2 linked regions of the Oreochromis niloticus genome follow. The protein of the gene in region 1 interacts with the protein of each later gene in a biochemical or structural test. Links are inferred from orthologs where the notes say so. Each region holds a gene or a part of one and is shown on either strand. Other genes may lie near its edges.

Region 1 (9,266 bases):
GACATAACAGAACTATCAAGGCTAGGTATCTTAAGTAAGGGATGTATGACTGCATGTTTAAAGGTCCATTAGACATGGATCCACATTCAGCTGGATCAGTTTTTTCAGAAGGACCTGAGGTTGTAGCTGGGTTTAATTTATTCTGGTGCCAGGATTTAAAAACTACAAATAAAATAAAATTAAAACCCTTACCTTTCATAGACTGGCAACTGTCTCAGGTTGTACTGATGACAGCTGGCTTAAGGTCCAAACTCGTGCCACTAATTTAGACAAACAGAGTATTTGAAGAGAATGGATGGAATTAAAATCAGCAGATGTTGTAGATTCCTATGAAGCAGTACCCTAAAAAGACCAATAAATGGCACTATTGTACCATTTACCCTGTAGAGTAGCTCTGTTATACCTATTCTTCATACTGTTTGTGAGGGAGTTCACCTGTCTTTTCGAGGGTACAAAAGTTGTATGAAGTGAAAAAAAAATGAACTGAAAAAAAAAATCTATAAGAAAACTTCGATGGAGGTATGCCTTCAGCATGCTCAATCATCCGGGTAAGGAAATCCCAGAAAGTTGATTCTGTTCATCTGTTTTCAGTGGGAGAAACGTTTCGTCATCATCCAGGTGACTTCATCAGTCTCAGCTGACTGCAGGTTTCCAACCTTATTAACAGGACATTTGTAAAATGACCTAAAGTAGGAACACTGACTAACTATTGGCCATAAGGTCACTGATATGTCACATGGAGGATATGGACATGTGAGAGAGAAAAACTGTCAACAACTCACTCAAGCAGAGAAAAAACTCCTTGCAAAAGGGTTGAACTTTGCTATGATGCTGAGATTGTGTAACTGATCACAGCCACAGAGTCAGAAATTCGAAACAACAACACTGCAGATGTGAAAGCAGAGCAACTGTGGATGAAAATGTTAACCTGTCTCAGCAAAGCAAAGCCCCCAGCATCCAATATCAGCATGGAGGAGAGGAAGGTACTTACAGCGCTTAGTAAGGACAACAACAACACCATCCAGCAGACTACAGCAGGTGTTGGTGTTGCTAAACCACACAGACTATCATGAGACATTTTGGCTCAGTAACAAAAATACTATAAAATACTAAAATATGAACCCTTGAAACAAGACCCAGGTAGTGGTTACAGGAAAAGGGTGATAGATTGTCTTAAGCAGTTGACTTTACTGACCAGACCTCAGAACACAAGTTACACCCAGGGGAAGTCTGTATAGTTAACTCAATTCAATTTCAATTCAATTCAATCTTTATTGGCAGACTTCATGTCCATAAAAACAAGACAGAAACACCCCCCCCCCCCCCCCCCCCCCCAACACAAGGTATAAACCATTATATTATATATATATATGTAGATAAATAAGTTAACCAAAGAAACATAAACAGGATGCACCTTTAAGACCTCCTTTAAGTCTGTATGATCAACTCGGTCACCTATAACATCTCTAAGTTTCTGGCTTCGATCCTCAACCCGCTGGTGGGCAGCTCTGAACACCACATCCAGAACACCTTGGATTTGGTTGAGAAGGTGAGAGATGTTATTATGGAGGCAGATGAAACCATGGTCTCGTACGACGTTACATCTCTCTTCACTTGCATCCCAGTCACGGAAGCATTGGAGGTAGTTCGTAAGAGGTTACAGGATGACCCCAACCTCAGCAACAGGACCACTCTCAGCATCCACCAAGTGCGTTTGAACTGTGTCTTAATTCCACCTACTTCACATACAAGGGTCAGGCAGGCAGAAACATGGGTGTGCCATGGGCTCCCCAGTTTCAGCCATCATGGCCAATTTGTACATGGAAGAAGTGGAAAAGAGGGCGTTGCTATCCTACCCTGGAACACCACCAAGCCATTGGTTCAGATATGTGGATGACACCTGGGTGAAAATCAAATCTCAGGACGTACCACATTTCACGGATCACATTAACTCGACGGACCGACACATCAAATTCACCAGGGAGGATATGAAAAGTGGCAGGTTAGCCTTCATAGACTGTGAGATTTCCTTCACTAATGGGGGACATCTAAAAGCTGATGTGTACCGTAAACCTACACATATGGATCAGTATTTAAGGTTTGACTCTCATCCAATGTCATTATATACTCTCTATTGTTCTATTATACTGCCTTACATGACATACTGTGTGGAAGTGTGGGGAAACATGTATAAAACACACACCCATCCAATATACATTCTGCAAAAAAGAGCAATAAGGATAATAAATAAAACTACTTCAAGAGAACCATCAAATCCACTTTTTATCAAATTAAATATTCTCAAATTTAAAGATTTGGTCGACCTCAGAACTGTGCAAACAATGTACAAAGCAGCAAAGAAATCTTTGCCCCACAACATTCAGAACTTGTTCCAAATAAGACCAAATACTCCTGACCTGAGAGAAATCCTTATGTTCAGCAAGCCAGTAGTAAGGACAAATGTAAACTATCACAGCATTACAGTCAGAGGAGTTAGTGTGTGGAACACCTGTACAGGTGAGATCAAGAAAAGTACATCAATACAAAATCTCACACGCCTGTTCAAAAATAATAAATCGCAATGAATATAGGAAATCTTCCTCTCAGTGACTGAGTCGTCTCATTGTCTCCTCATTTTTATAGATCAAGGCCAGAGTAACCCAGGCTTAAGTGTTCATTAATAGATATCAAATAAGATCAGAGATTAAGCGGGTGTTAAACACAGGGTGCTTAGTTTATGTAAACATGTAGTTTGTTGTTGTTGTGGTTTACGTGCTGAAAATGGTTTTATTTGTGTATGTTCAGTTTGTTAGACTTGTAAATAGTTAAATATATCTGATCAAATAATGTTGAATCCTTGATATGGATTTGTAAGCAATGAAATTCTATCTATCTATCTATCTATCTATCTATCTATCTATCTATCTATCTATCTATCTATCTATCTATCCACTGGAGCATAAACTGGGTGTCATCAGGACGCTACAACACAGAGCGAACACCATCCCCACAGACACAGCGGCCAGGGAGGCAGAAGAACATCACATCAAGAAGGCCCTGAGTAAATGTGGTTATCCCAGCTGGACTTTTGTCAAAGCTGGGAAGGCACCTAAAGAAAGCTCCAGCCGATCCAGGAGAGAAGGACAACCGCTGCCTAAGTGAAAACCTGTAGTGATCCCATATGTGTCAGGAGTATCGGAACAGTTGAGACGCATTTTTTCTAAACACCGGGTCTCTGTGGCTTTCAAACCCCAAAACACGCTGCGCCAAAAACTGGTCCACCCCAAGGATCGGGTCCCCCGACACAAACAGAGTAACATAGTGTACGCTGTTAAGTGCCAGGAGGATTGCCAGGATTTATACATCGGGGAAACCAAACAACCTCTAGCGAAGCGGATGGCACAACACAGCAGAGCCACCTCATCAGGCCAGGACTCTGCAGTCTATTTACACCTACAGGCCAGTGGACACTCTTTCAACGATGAGGATGTACACATCCTGGACAGGGAGGAACGCTGGTTTGAGGGCGGAGTCAAGGAGGCCATTTACGTGAAAAGGGAAAGACCATCTGTGAATGGAGGAGGGGGCCTAAGGGTCCATCTGTCACCATCTTACAATGCTGTGATTGCAGCCATTCCCCAACTCTCTGTGAATTCTTGAATGTGCTGTCTTTTCACCCCCTTGTCCACATCCTCTGTGTGGGTCTGGCATATCAGTGGCCCTGGTACTGACCTCCCAGTCCATTGTTCATCAGTGGTGCTAGTTTCAGTCAATAACCAAATGTACTGTTGGGGAAACCTGCAGTCAGCTGAGAGTGAAGAGTCACCTGGATGAGTGATGAAACGTTTCTCCCACTGAAAACTCTTCATCCAGATGAACAGCTGCAGTCTTTCACCCTCATTTTTCAAGTATATTTACTAACAAACACTCATAAAGCAGACACTCACATACTGTCTCTCACTCTCTCTGTCTCTCACTCACATATTTGTTTGCGTACCTGCTTTATTTTGTCTTTCTGTCCTGTTTCTTTTTTTGTTCCTCTGCTTTCTTCTCCTGTCTGGCTCCAATCTAGCCTTCACCCCCATCTGCTCCAGCATCCACACAGATAGTAATATGAATAATAAGATTAAACAGGAACATTCACAAAAGGAGCCTGCAGAGAGTCTGAGGTGCTCCTCTTGGGAAAGCAATGGGTTTGGCACAACAAAGCCTTCAGATTAGGATTCTGCTTGCTACAACTGCTGGGCAACAAGAAATAAATCCATTTAAAAAATGATTGCATATTTAAAGAAGTTACCTCAAACATAGTACACAAACCTAACCTGAGGTCATCAATGAAAAACAGGTATATTGTAACTGACTTAGAAATTGGCAGGAAGTTAGCTCGCTAGTTTCCATCTGAAGAGGATATACCATGTTCAGACATCACAGACTAAAACAGCTCTGCTATCACTTCAGACATAAATAAAGACAGAGTGTTTGAAGGGTTAGTGAAGTCTGGCTAGCTGACATATAATGGTGTGCTACCTGGTGGTGCTAACATGGTGTAATGAAGACGGAGGAATAATGGTAACTAATAATAATGAAAGTAAATGTGAGGGTCCCTGAATGGATGATTGCAGTCACACGGAAAACAAAACGTGAATCGGACCATTCAAGATAACGCCTGAGACAATCCTCAACACGAGGCTAGTCATTAATATGGTGCTGCATGCTTTGGATGACTCCGTTTGACCACTGAAATCTTAGCCTCAGAGTACGACAGCAGCTTGACTCTTTTCTTTTCAGCTGTGCTTGGGATCATTGTCCTGTTACATGACCCAATTAGAGCCAAGCTTTAACTGTCAGACAGATGGACTCACATTTGACAGATGGTCCACAGTTCATGCTTCACTCAGTGATTGAAAGGTGCCCAAATCACCACACCTCCACCACTGTGCTTCACAGTTTGTGCTGATATTTAAAAGTGGTCCTCTGCACTCTGCCAGACGTCTTCACTTTGGTATCGTCTATCTGAAGGATATTGTTGTGTTTTGTTGTTCATTTTGCAGCTTTGCAAAGCTAAGCTGTGCTACCACACTGACTTTAGAGAGAAGAGGCTTTCGCCTGGCAACCCTTCCAACAAGTCGTATGTTTTCAGGTCTTTTTTCTAATTGTACTGACATGAAATGTAACATTTGAGATGCAACACAGGCCACCTATCGCCTTAATTCCCCAAAATCCCAATGATTTTTAACATGGTTGTATGTTAAATATATATGTGAGAGTGTGCTGTTTGAGCAGAATATTGAAAGCCCAGGTCCACCAGTGCACTAAACGGGGTGAAAAACAAAGGTTACAATGTTAGAGAGATGTCCATGAGTGGGGCATCATAGCAGCCAAGATGAATAAGCGCAGTAACGTATACAGTACGGCTGGTTTCATTTGAACTTGGAGACAGCCAGAGGCAGCATTTACCAAACTATCCCGGCTCTAAAGGTAAAGAAAGTGGAAACACCGAACAGCATACTAACATTTGCTAATTGCTGCCTCATGTTGTAACAAGTTCAAGTTGGGAGAGCGCAGTTTGACAGACCATAGTATTATTATTAATACTATAGAGTGATCACGTGATGTGATGGCCAACACATCACAACACGTAGTGGGGAGACCACGGGGGGAGGAGCTGGGCGCAAAAGAACCACCTCAACAAATCTGGACGTGACTCCACCCTCCGTGTGCAGTGGGGAGTGGAGCAGCCGAGTGACAGTTCAGCCCGAGCCCAAACCATCCGTGACTGGCTCAGCAGGCTGAAGTTTGACTTTGTCTCTGTGTTTTTTGCCTCAGTGTTCCCGGAGAAGATATCGGGACTTCTGAAGTTTGGAGCCGCTTTTCTTCAGGAAGCTTTGCGCCACTTTATTCCTGCACACAGGCGCTCCGTGAAGCGGGTCTTTCATCTCTCTTTAAAAAAGAAAAGAAGAAAAAACCCGCTCAAAACACGGAGGATCGTTGGAGCTGGAAGTGGAAGCCTCGGAGGAACACAGTGTAGCCCACAGGTACTGTAGCTCTGCGTTATCTTTGCACTGACTCACACCGTGAGTACACGTTTAGAGACGTGGACGGTAACACAGCAGTGACTGAGCCTTTGCGAGTTTGTCGCTTTCACAGAATAGGGACACGCTGGAAAACAGCGAGCATCAGCAGTATCGTGACTGGCTGCACAGCTCCGGACCGTCTGAGCGCTTCACTTTATTACGCATTATACGGACAGCTGCGAACTAAATAAGTCACTTTATTGAAGACTTTCAAATTCTAACTATCAACCATAACTAACCAATCTGACCAGCAACATTTTCATTAGAAAAAGTTTTGTGTTAATGCATAAATATTATTATTATTGTTGGTAGTAGTAGATACATGTAGATAACAGCAGAAGGTTAAACTATAACCTCAACAACAACACCGTGTGTGTGTGTGTGTGTGTGTGTGTCTGTGTGTGTGTGTGTGTGTGTGGTGTTGTTTTTCTTCTTCTTGAACTTATAATTTAAAAGCAAAAAGCGTGAATGTCTCTTTGATGTGTTTACTGACCGTCAGTCTGTCAGACACACCGAGTGATTCCTTAAAGTGCTCATAGAGAGCGTGCTCAGGAACTCTGCTCTCTCAGCTCCATTCACTGTTGCTTTCAAGCTCTTTTGGCTCCAGTTTTAAAATGACCTCATTAAGAAGTAATGTGATTTCTTTTCAGTGGAGAGACTGCCATCCAACATTCACAGCCTACCACCCTCACGAACCACACAAGTAATACTTAGCTGAGCAGAGCATGTGAAATATGTACAGTATGATTATGAACATGTTGTATACGAAACCATCCAAACGTATTTCACTGCTACATGTCACATGTCTCTGATGTGTCACTGATGTATGAGAGGACACATCGTGGGCTTCACTGGAAAAAACTAAACAAATAATCTGAAATACCTGGTCCTGGTACTAATACTGCAGTTTTAGATATTATGGATGTTTTTCCCACGTTCCAAATTAGAGTGGCTTTGTGTGCATCTGTATGTAAAACGCCTCGAGGCAGCTGTAGTTGCTGTGAATTGAAGTTGAACTGCGTCGTAACAGAGGTCGAAAGTAACAAAATACAAGTACTTGTAACTGTACATAAAATTTTCTGTTATTTTTATTGTTAACCTTTATTTATCCAGATCAAAGTTTCCAAGAGGGCAGCACATAAAGACAATATAACAAATGCAGTATTCCACACAGACACAGGAATAGTATGCAACAGCAGTCACACTAACCAGAGGAGCTTTTCTCTCGCTCATATAAATACAACTAAAGTCCCACATTGTAACTATTTCTGACCGTTTCAGTTTATTCTGTGGATTATTCCAGAAACACAGACAGTATATTTAAATGTTGTTGTTTTTTAATTGTGTTCTGACTCAGGGGACAAACATTTGTGTAATGTTGGGAGAGTGTGGGCTAGACTGGACCTGGTTTTTACACACAGATAAGAAGGAACCGGGCCAAGGAGGGACACCGAGATTTACCAAGAAACTGTGTATGCATGCTGTGGATATGTGCTGTCTGTGGACATGTGCTGTCTGTGGTCATGTGCTGTCTGTGGACATGTGCTGTCTGTGGACATGTGCTGTCTGTGGACATGTGCTGTCTGTGGTCATGTGCGGTCTGTGGACATGTGCTGTCTGTGGTCATGTGCTGTCTGTGGACATGTGCTGTCTGTGGTCATGTGCTGTCTGTGGACATGTGCTGTCTGTGGACATGTGCGGTCTGTGGTCATGTGCGGTCTGTGGACATGTGCGGTCTGTGGTCATGTGCTGTCTGTGGTCATGTGCTGTCTGTGGACATGTGCTGTCTGTGGACATGTGCGGTCTGTGGACATGTGCGGTCTGTGGTCATGTGCTGTCTGTGGTCATGTGCGGTCTGTGGTCATGTGCGGTCTGTGGACATGTGCGGTCTGTGGTCATGTGCTGTCTGTGGACATGTGCTGTCTGTGGACATGTGCGGTCTGTGGTCATGTGCGGTCTGTGGTCATGTGCTGTCTGTGGACATGTGCGGTCTGTGGTCATGTGCTGTCTGTGGACATGTGCGGTCTGTGGTCATGTGCGGTCTGTGGTCATGTGCGGTCTGTGGTCATGTGCTGTCTGTGGACATGTGCTGTCTGTGGACATGTGCGGTCTGTGGTCATGTGCTGTCTGTGGACATGTGCGGTCTGTGGTCATGTGCGGTCTGTGGACATGTGCGGTCTGTGGTCATGTGCGGTCTGTGGTCATGTGCGGTCTGTGGTCATGTGCTCTCTGTGGACATGTGCGGTCTGTGGACATGTGCGGTCTGTGGTCATGTGCTGTCTGTGGACATGTGCGGTCTGTGGACATGTGCGGTCTGTGGTCATGTGCGGTCTGTGGTCATGTGCTGTCTGTGGACATGTGCGGTCTGTGGTCATGTGCGGTCTGTGGACATGTGCGGTCTGTGGTCATGTGCTGTCTGTGGTCATGTGCTGTCTGTGGACATGTGCGGTCTGTGGTCATGTGCGGTCTGTGGTCATGTGCTGTCTGTGGACATGTGCGGTCTGTGGTCATGTGCGGTCTGTGGACATGTGCGGTCTGTGGTCATGTGCTGTCTGTGGTCATGTGCTGTCTGTGGACATGTGCTGTCTGTGGTCATGTGCGGTCTGTGGACATGTGCGGTCTGTGGACATGTGCGGTCTGTGGTCATGTGCGGTCTGTGGACATGTGCTGTCTGTGGACATGTGCTGTCTGTGGACATGTGCTGTCTGTGGACATGTGCGGTCTGTGGTCATGTGCTGTCTGTGGACATGTGCTGTCTGTGGTCATGTGCTGTCTGTGGACATGTGCTGTCTGTGGACATGTGCTGTCTGTGGTCATGTGCTGTCTGTGGACATGTGCGGTCTGTGGATATATAGAAAACACCATTTAGCAGTAGCAGAGAGAGCATTAATCAGCAGATCAGCATAAAGACTCCAGTATCAGTTCTACATTAGATTATCAGAACAAGTTTGTTACTTTTGGTTTGAGGCAGGTTTTTATTTCACATCATTGCGTGCCATCAAAAAGATGCAAAAACATATAATTTATGCATCATTTGTAGCGCTGTACTAAGAGTTAAAGTAGGCCAGAACAATCCAGAAGTGTTTTTGAAAGGAGAAAGACAGGAGGTTTGGCTTGAAGGTGAGGGCTGTTCAATGCAATCTGAAATATAAAGCTTACATGCGAGCGACCTGTAATATATTATATACTGGA
Region 2 (9,656 bases), on another chromosome or scaffold:
TTGGAAAAAATGACATTGTATCATGAGTGAAGTATTGTGATAATATTATATCATGGGGTGCCAGGTGAGTCCCACCTCTACTAATTCAGCACACTATTGCAGGGAGTTTCCTTGCAGGATCCACCGCATTATTAAAAAAAAAAAAAAAAAAAAAAAAAAAAAAAAAATTACATAAAGACTTCTTTATCAAAAAAGTTGGGTTACTATGTAAAATGTCTTGGTATCAACCTTCGATATGTTGTTGCTGGGCTATTTTCATTCAAAGAAAGTGATGATTTAGGTATAAATAAATATTTGCATTCTATTTTTTCTATACTTTTACACAGCCAACCTAATTTTTTGCTAGGGTGGTTCCTACTTCTGCACTAATGAAAATAACATTAAAGTTGCCCAGCAAAACTAACAGTCAGCAAAGACGAAGACAATTAAAAAGAAAAAGGTCATTGTCCTGGAAGAAGCTAAATGCTGTGAAATAAGTAACGCATTCACATAAGAGGCCAATATTATACTCACTTGTCAACACACACACCACTACGGATACAAAACACGAGTATTTGTTGTTACAATATTTCCTATTCCACTCACAGTGAATGAGCAGTTGGTGACCTTGCTGCAGAATTGCATTGTGAAGTTGTTGCTTTGGTTTGCTTGTGGTGAGGTTTCTCAAGCAATAGCACAGGTGTCCACCATCAAATTACATTCATTCATGGCTTCGGCACAAATCAAATTCTGCTATTAAAATCTGAGATGGTTTGTGGTGCAGCTGATATCAAAGTGGGGGAAAAGTCGATTACTGTGGTAAGGAATCCAACAGTTTAGATGAACAAAGGCATCATCTAAGGTAACTGCCAATTTTAGTGCATTTAGCTTGACTTGTGAGTGACTGGCTATTAATAAAGATAATCATGTCAACATTTAGCTAACCCTACATTTTGCTTTGGGATTGATGTCCCCAGGCAAAACGTTCAGGTTCCCTGCCATTAGGGCTGGGCGATATATCGAGTTTTTAAAAAATATCGATATATTTTTATACGAGATATAAGATGTGACAATATCCTTTATATTGATATAGTCTGTGTTACATTATAATTATAGTTGTGGAGCCACAAGTTTGCCTCTCTTTCGTCCACTTTTGTCTTTACGCAACGTTACTCGACCTCGCCTCTCCTTCACTGAACACAACTCCCCCTCCTCCCCCATCGCTTCACCTGCAGGCAGCGACAAGATGGACACGGCAAATCTCCGTTAACGAGTTACTGCGCATCGCCCCGTGCGTGGGGCTGGATGGCGTCAACGTGTTAACGAGCTAACCACGCTAACGCCATGCAGCCCAGAGGGGCTGCACAGCCTAAAATCCTTTCATTCTCTCAAAAGTTGACAGCGCGCCTTTTGTATGAATTCTGGTTGTGCTTGATGACCGAACCGATTTTATGTGATACACAGCGCTCAGCAATCTGTCAAAAAATGTTTTGGTACGACTTTGGTAAGCTACGGAGCTGCACCTCTTGATGGATTGTCGGAGCATTACGGCTACCAAGGAGCCTCGCGGAGTAATACGTACTGTGCTTCAAGGTAATATTACCGTATTGTGTGTGTATAAGGACCATAAATGGCACCTGTTAAGAGACGTGGTTATGCAGCTGATTTCAAACTCCAGGCTGTCAGTTACGCAGCAGAAGTTGGGAACAGAGCAGCTGTGAAATCTGTCTATGTTATTATGCTCAGCGTCTTTTAGTTTACATTCTGACTGCACAATTGTGAGCTTTTTGTTATGCACAAAAACAACATTGTTTTGGTTTATTTATGGAGCATTATTATTTAATAAATGCTCATAATTTATTTTTGAGTAGTTTTTTTCATGTACATCTATGCTGTATGTTAATAAAAGTGCCTGTGTGACATCTGGGACACAGCTTTGACTAAGAACTCTCTTTTTGTTCTTACTTTATGGCTTTAAAAAAATATCGAGATATATATCTTATATCGCCATCCAGCTAAAAAATATCGAGATATGAATTTTGGGTCATATCGCCCAGCCCTACCTGCCATGTGAGAAAACTGCTCTGGTAAGTTTTAATTCTACACCCATAGCCAGTGATGGTGCTAGTGAATTACAACTACTTCCACAAGTCATCTGTGAGGGTACATTTTAACCACTTGTGCAATTCAGAGCTGGGGGGAGAGCTGGAGCCAATGCCAGCTGTCGTAGGTTGAGAAGTGGGGTAGACCACGGACAGGTCACCAGTCCATCACAGGGCTAACACACAGAGACAGGCAATTTAGAACCTCCCATTAACCTAATGTCCATGTTTTGGACTGTGGACGCAGGTACTTTTAAAAGCAAGCTATGACAATTAAGAACAATAAAAAATAAAAAATATACATATAAAAGTAAATGTTTTTTCTTTTTTTCCCTTTACTATTCATCTTCTTCACAGACTCTCTATAATCCTTATCATTTCTTAGTGCAGCCACTATTTGCCGTTTCACATTAGAATCACTCATTTCTCTTTTTACTAATGTGTGGCACATCCCAGCTTGAGTATTTTGACCTTGGTGAATTGGGACAAAAGCTTCATTTTAAAGATTCTGGGAATCCAGAGTTTCCCGCCTTCAACTCTAAAACCTTTTGTCTGCTTACATTTACACCTACACGGTTTCACCCCCACCTCTGTGGGTCTGCACTCACTGGTTTCCCTCTCCTTTTTTCATTTTGTGTACAGACAGACAGACAGACACACACACACACACACCTGTAGCTTATATATTCTCATGCACTTCTTAAGTGTTTATACTTGATGCTTGTGTCTGTTATGCTTGTATAGTATTGGCTACAGATTTCCTTTTTAATAACAAAGTAATCACTTCATGATGTGATTTCTTTGGAAATAGAAACCTAGAGCTTATATAATTACGATTATATTTGATCGCTGCCAATTTTTTATTTTTCATTTTGTCATCTTAATTATAAATTATATCCCGAGTCATTTGTTTCACTGACATTGTGATTTTATGAGACTGTTGTGAATATGGTGGTTTTCCTACATGGTTTTTCCCCTATGAATTAATGCTACTGATAAAGAAGACAAATATAAGCCGTTAAAAACTAATACAAAGAGTTGTTTTTGACAAGAACACTTTGCACTTTAAAGTGTTTTTGTAACACCTAAAGATACACTTTGCAGTAGAGGCACATTTGTAACAGTACCTGAGTATTCCTTCTACCACTGCCCATATGATACTCTGAAGAGCAAGCACTCAGTTTGTAACCAGTAAAAAGCCTTCAAAGACAGCAGTTTGGTGAGGTTCGCATGAACAAGGTGGCCTGGAAAGGACTCAAATCCCCGGTCTGAATTACTGTTTCAGTCTACCCCTGCCACAAAGGTAGGTTGTTCTTGCACGGTGCAAAACGATGACAACGTAGAGTCACGGTTACCGTTAAAAAGGAAACGACCCTCTTAAAATGCAAAATAGAGTCATTAAATATGGCGTAGTTTGAACCTAGCTAGTTCAACCTGAGGGTAAAAGGTAAGCCAATCTAATAGGAGCAGAGTTTGGATCTACGCCCCTGGGCGACCTCGCATTCCAGAGATTCCCACACTCTAAGCTCACCTGCCTTTTCCTGCACTACTTAGCAACACGTTTTCAAGGGCATTGCCACAGTAAAGTGAGTTTTTCTACAAGAGGAAAACTAACCCCGGAGCAGTTTCCGTGCATTTACATTAGCCGGCCAAGTTTTCACCCCCACGGTTAGGCATGGCATCAAAAACAGCGCGTGAAGGTCCCTCAAAGGTGTGCGTTGTTTGCGATGATTCGGTCACAAGAAACAGATTAGGGTAGTATTAGATTCTTCCCCGCTGAGAGGAAGCCAAAAGAAGCTTGTCTTATGCCGCATGCACAGACGGAAAAAAGAGAAAGAAAAAAAGCAACCACTCTCTTTTCACTTTCCGACTTCAAGTAAGCAGCCCATACCCTCCTGCCTGCTCTGCGCACAGATGCTCTCGTTTCTCCCTGCGTATTCACTCCAATTATTTAGCAGTTTGCAAAGAAAAGAAAAGAGAAACATTTCCATACCTTGGGAGGATTGTAGTTGCGCTGGCTGAGCTGCGGCTTGGATCTACATTGGAATGTGTAACTTCATCTGTAAAGTCCTGCCTTTTAGTCCCATGCATGTGGAAGAATGAAACTCGCGTCCACACTCGAGTGAAGAAGACGACCCCTCGGCTGCTCCTCGCTTCCAACAGCAGTCCCAGGCAATGCGAGCGTGCATGACGTCAGCGGGAATGTGGGAAACCGATGTGCACTCCTGATTGGTTTCAAAGCGAATACGGGGGCGTTCCTGAAGAGGTACGCGTTGTTAAATTAACCAATGACTGAGAAGATGATAGTTACCTTGGTTACCTGTTTTGTCAACCCATACACTGTAGAAGGGAGAGAACAAGGTAAGCTAGGTGGCTCGTCGGGTATAAATACTTAGTTTACAACGCAAATAATCGCTAATTGTTGTGTGTAACTTTATTGTAGGTATAGTTTGAGCTTGGTCTTGTAGGAAACCTTTGGTTCACTTGGTTTTGGTTTTTTTTTGTAAGGTTGAGCATAGGTTCTACACAAGTACTGTCGCTAAACTATAGCAGTAGCAGCTGTGACAATGATAAAGTTAAGTGTTTTCTAGTTTAATTAAGGACTATAATAATTGGTAAAAATCGGTAAAGTAAATTAACAGAGCTTGGCTTGGAAAATATTTTAGGCTAGTTGTATGTCCATAGTTTTAACAGCAAAAAAATGACAACCTAATGATTTTTTAAAAATATTTCTTTTGTACATTTAACCCATGTGCCACCTTTTCGCCACTGGTGTTATCTTACTCCTTATGCAAATTTTGGGGGCTTCTATTAATTATTATTTAGAATAATGCTATGTGATGCAAAAATCATAAGATAATATTTTATTATTTCAAAGCGTTTGTTCAAAGCGTCAATGTATGATATTTGCAAAGTCATTTATTAGCAATAAAATCAAATGAAAGCATATAAAGAACACTTAAAATGAGTGACAATGCCATTCTTTATATCTTAACCTGTACCTGTACCGAATTTCAGTGGATGTAAAATTATTATCTCGGAGGTCTAGTGTTACCCATAAGGAAGGTAACAGCAGTGACAGTTTTCATGGAAAATGCTTTTTACAAAATAGATGCTGCAAGCATCAAACCACATGATGTCAGTCATCTTGTACTCACCAGATTATGTCATTTAATCCATTTATATTCTGTTGTTTTGGGTTTTGTTTTTTTTAACAATTTCCTAACTGTTTTGTATTAGTGACTTCAACTAAAAGCTTATTATGAAATTACGAGATAAAACAGAAAAAAATCTGATAAATGAAAAGAGACACTGGTCTCATCATGACCATTTCTTTATAGTGCTTCAGGAAATCTGTGAAAGTAAGTCAAGTGATGTCATTATTGGGATGTTTTGTTTCAAAATAATAAACTTTTCTCATAACACCAGTGACACAGTTTTAAGGGACCATGACTTTCTTTATATATCTTATAATATTTATTTCACATTTTGCTTCATTGTGTCACAGTCATCATATTTTTAACATATCTGATTGATTTGATGCATTTTAAATATAACAAAAAAAACACAGCCTTTACCCACCATACTCGACTGTGGGGACAAACGCGGTGGTGGTGCCTATTCTAATTGTAATATTGTGAAATTAAAGAATGAGGAAGGAAAAATTATTCAAATTTAACATAGAAATAAATTGTAAATAAAGTGGTTTTTAAGTGTAGTAAAAGCCAGGGACAGAAAAATTGACATTTCTAGAATGACCTATGTCTTGAATCCTAACCTTGGCTTGCCATTTGGTGTTGAAATGGAAAAAGTAATAATTTTGCTGTCCTTAAAATCGGTATTTAAGTCTATATGTAATGGAGACATGGGCAAAAAATAGACAAGGATTCAGAACAGCGCATCTGTTTTCCCTCCAATCATAGAAAAATTAATTCCTGCATAGTTCATCCCATCTCTTCACACACCATGCATTTGAAAGGAGAGGAATCCTGTGCGAAAATCTTTCCAAGCTTAATCCAAAACAAAGGCAAAAAGGAAAAAAAAAACATTCCAGCAGTATATCACACACACACTGGCTCCAGTACACTAAAACTTGTTGATGTTAACTAGCATTTTAAACAATGTCACACCAAACTTTTTTTGTAGGCAACAAAGCTGTGCATGTGTGTGCAGCGCAATAATTAATGTCTTTATTTTGAAGGTACTCTGGTGCATGAAGATAAAGCTCAATAGTGATGAGTGGAAAGGATCTACAAACATTCATAACAAGCATTAAAGCAGAAGATGTTGGTAAGTGAGTGAAAAATGGCTGGAATATTCTGGCTTCTGACATAGTGGTCTACTCAACTGTTGAACCGGTTTGACCTGAAGCCCTCATGTCGAATTCTCCAGGTGCCTTTCAAGTCTGTTGTTTTTGTCACAGGCACAGCTTGTGTTTATCCACCTGCTTCCTTGAGTCAAGCCGAAGCACTGAAAAAAAACGTCTGACACAGTTTGTCTCTGCTATCCCCCTCCTCCTGTGCAATCATTTCTTTATTACGCATACAATCCATTAGAGCTTAACTGGTGTTGCTCCTCTGTCTAACCTTTTTTTGCTGAAGTCAGCATAAAGTCTTTACTTCAGACATTAAAAGTGATGAGATTTTCAAGAATTCCAGTGATCCTAATTCATCCATATCATCTGTTTTCATCCATGCAGAAAAACTGACAGTGCGAATGAAAAATGGTCTTGGCAGCTCAAAGTACAAGCCGGCAGAATATAAAAGACTACTAGCGATTGTTGATGCCAAACGCGAGGAGACTGATCTAATTGGACAAAAGGTAACCTTTTGTTTGCACTGTCATCCCTGTGCTAATAAAAAAGCTGTGTTTTCCTAAAATAAAGTCCTGTTGCATTTAATAACACGTTGATTCAGCAGCAAATAAAGGAGTATGTGCAATAAAACCACTCATTATACATCAAAGGAAGTGTTAACTAAACAGCATGTCCTCAGTAGTAGTAAAAAGTGCAATATCTGTGTGCGTGTGTGTGTGTGTGTTTACCTTTTTCCACTCTTTCATATATGCCACACGCTGTAAAAGGATTTCATTTAGCATAAAATAGACATTGCATAATTCTTGTAGTTTGTCCAACAACATGAAAGAGAGCAGTAATATCACTGCCATACAGAATGGCATTTCTGTGAATATTCATTTGGCTTCCTGTGGGTTTTCCCACCACACTGTTTGAAGTTCATAGTCATATGATTCTGAGCTGATCAAAAAGTTAATGCTAGGGGCACTGGAGATTAGACCTGTGTTGTTTTAATTAGTAAATTGTGTCAGAAGCCTTCTAGCATCATCGTGGTAGCCCATGGCTTCTTCCAACCCTGCGCTCTGGATAACCTAGATAAGAGAGGCTATGTTCATATTGGCCCTCCTGAAAAAGCAGGCTTTTTGAACATCTCATATTGGTGATGTGATAGGGGTAAATAAATTACCATGAGTAGCCTCAAGCATGGGATCATTTTTGCTTTCTATAAATGGACTGGCAGCATTAGTAGACAGTAAACACTTGGTAGCTCTATACTACACTCTGTGCACTGTGTTACCCAATATACAGATATGTGTGTATGTAAACACTGAAAAAAGGAGTGGGAAACATATTTTTTTCAATACTGTTTTGATTACAGGTAGACATCCAACAAATGGGCATAATATTGCTACATTTTCCCTACTGATTCACCTATATTAATGTTTATGTGTTTTTGCTGAAAGACATTGACTTTATTATAAGAAAATGCATAACTGAAATATACCATGTCTCCAATATTGTGGGAGAATCCCCTGTGTGTGATTGCAAAATTATTGATCCTTTACTCATGTATGACATTTCAGAGATGATTTGTATTTCAAAATGTATTAAAAAGAGCAATAAAGAATGAAAAAATGCATAAGGAAAGGGTATATCAGAGGGCCTGCTCAGGATGGAGCTGATTTGGAGACAAAGTAAAAGAGGCAAGGTTGAGATGGTTTGGCCATGGGTAGAAGAGTGATAGTGCATGTATTAGGAAAAAGATGTTTAATATTAACTGCTAAGCTAAAGGAGAAAAGGAAGACTAAAACGAAGGTTAGTGGATGTAGTGAGAAAGGACATGCAGATAATTGGTGTGATGCAGAGGATAGGGTGGCAACACCTGAAGGGAGGAGCTGAAAAAAGAACGAGACATGGCTTGTAAATACATGTGGTTTAAGTTTAAAACCTTCAAAAAGAAAAAGATGACTTTTTACTCATTACGTATGAAAGGAAATTAAATGTACTCATACAACTATTTTTACATTGTTCACGTGGATGTCTACGAGCTGAATATACAAACCCTATTATAGAGAATTTGAGACGCTGTGTAAAATATAAATAAAAACAGAATGGAATGATTTACAAATCACATAAAACTATATTTTTTAATAACAGAAGATAGAAAATATGACATTTTAGTATTTCATGAAAAATATTAGGTTACTTGGCAACGGGTCAGTAACAGGTCAGAGAGTATAAAAAGAGATCTTAGAGAGGCAAAGTCTCTCAGACGTAAAGATAGGTTAAGGTTCACCAATCTGGAAAAAAATTGTGTCTACTAATTGTGGAAAAATTCCATAAAATTGCAAAGATTTTAAACAGCTTGTCATCTACAGTACATAGTATCACCAAAAGATTCAGAGGATGTGAAGAAATCTCTGTACACAAGTGACTAGGTTGAAGATTAATACTGGATGCCTGTGACATGCAGCACTGCATTAAAAACGGGCATGATTCTACCATGGAAATCACTGCATGGGCAAAGAAATACTTCCAGAAATCACTGCCTGTTAATGCAGTTCAGCATGTCATCCACAAAGACACGTTAAAACTCTATGATGCACAGAAGAAGCCATATGTAACATGATTCAGACAGGGCACCGGCTTCTCTGGCTTAAAGCTTATTTAAAATGGACTGAATCAAGTGTTAAACTGTTCTGTGGTCAGACAAATCTAAATATGAAATGCTTTTCCAAAAAAATCCTTCATCCTGGACTAAAGAGAGGGATCATCCAGCTTCCTATCAGCTCTCAGTTCCTGATGATATGGGATACATCAATCCAGCATCTATTACAAGAGCATTACTTCGTAGTAGAAGAGTCGGGGTGCTGAGCAGGCCTGTCTGCAGTCCAGAACTTTCACCAATTAAAATCATTTGGCACATCATTAAATGAAAAATATGACAAAGTTGTGCAGCAAGAATCCTACGTCAGACAAGAATGGAACAACATTCCTCTCCCAGAAGTCCAGCAGCTGGTCTCCTCAGATGTTTACAGATTGTTGTTACACAAAGAGGAGATGCTACACATCGCTAAACATGGCTCTGGCCCAACTTTTTAGAAATGTGTTGCTACGTTCAGATTGAAAATGGCCTCATTTTTTTCTTGAAGTAGTGCAACTTCTCATTGAACCCGAAGAACTGCTGCATGTTTATTTCCCAGAAAGTAGAGAAAGAATGAACCAGAGTTGGAAGAAAATTGTCTTTATTAGTAACATCAATGCTTTTTCTTCTATGACAA

The links.
Region 2: the proteins of pdzd2 (region 1) and plakophilin-4 form a complex in vitro, tested with the Homo sapiens proteins (2 studies listed by BioGRID and IntAct, with this or other methods). The link is inferred for Oreochromis niloticus from reciprocal best matches to the Homo sapiens genes PDZD2 and PKP4.

The regions. Positions count from the first base shown.
Region 1 is NC_031977.2:406,302-415,567, reverse strand, and holds the start of pdzd2 (PDZ domain-containing protein 2), read left to right. Parts: upstream 1-5,730; 5' UTR 5,731-6,035; intron 6,036-9,266.
Region 2 is NC_031987.2:14,967,825-14,977,480, reverse strand, and holds the start of plakophilin-4, read right to left. Parts: upstream 4,286-9,656; 5' UTR 4,075-4,285; intron 3,385-4,074; exon of another isoform or gene 3,363-3,384; intron 1-3,362. Other genes in the region: coiled-coil domain-containing protein 148, read left to right, coding at 6,317-6,371, 6,781-6,902. UniProt on the Homo sapiens protein: Plays a role as a regulator of Rho activity during cytokinesis. May play a role in junctional plaques.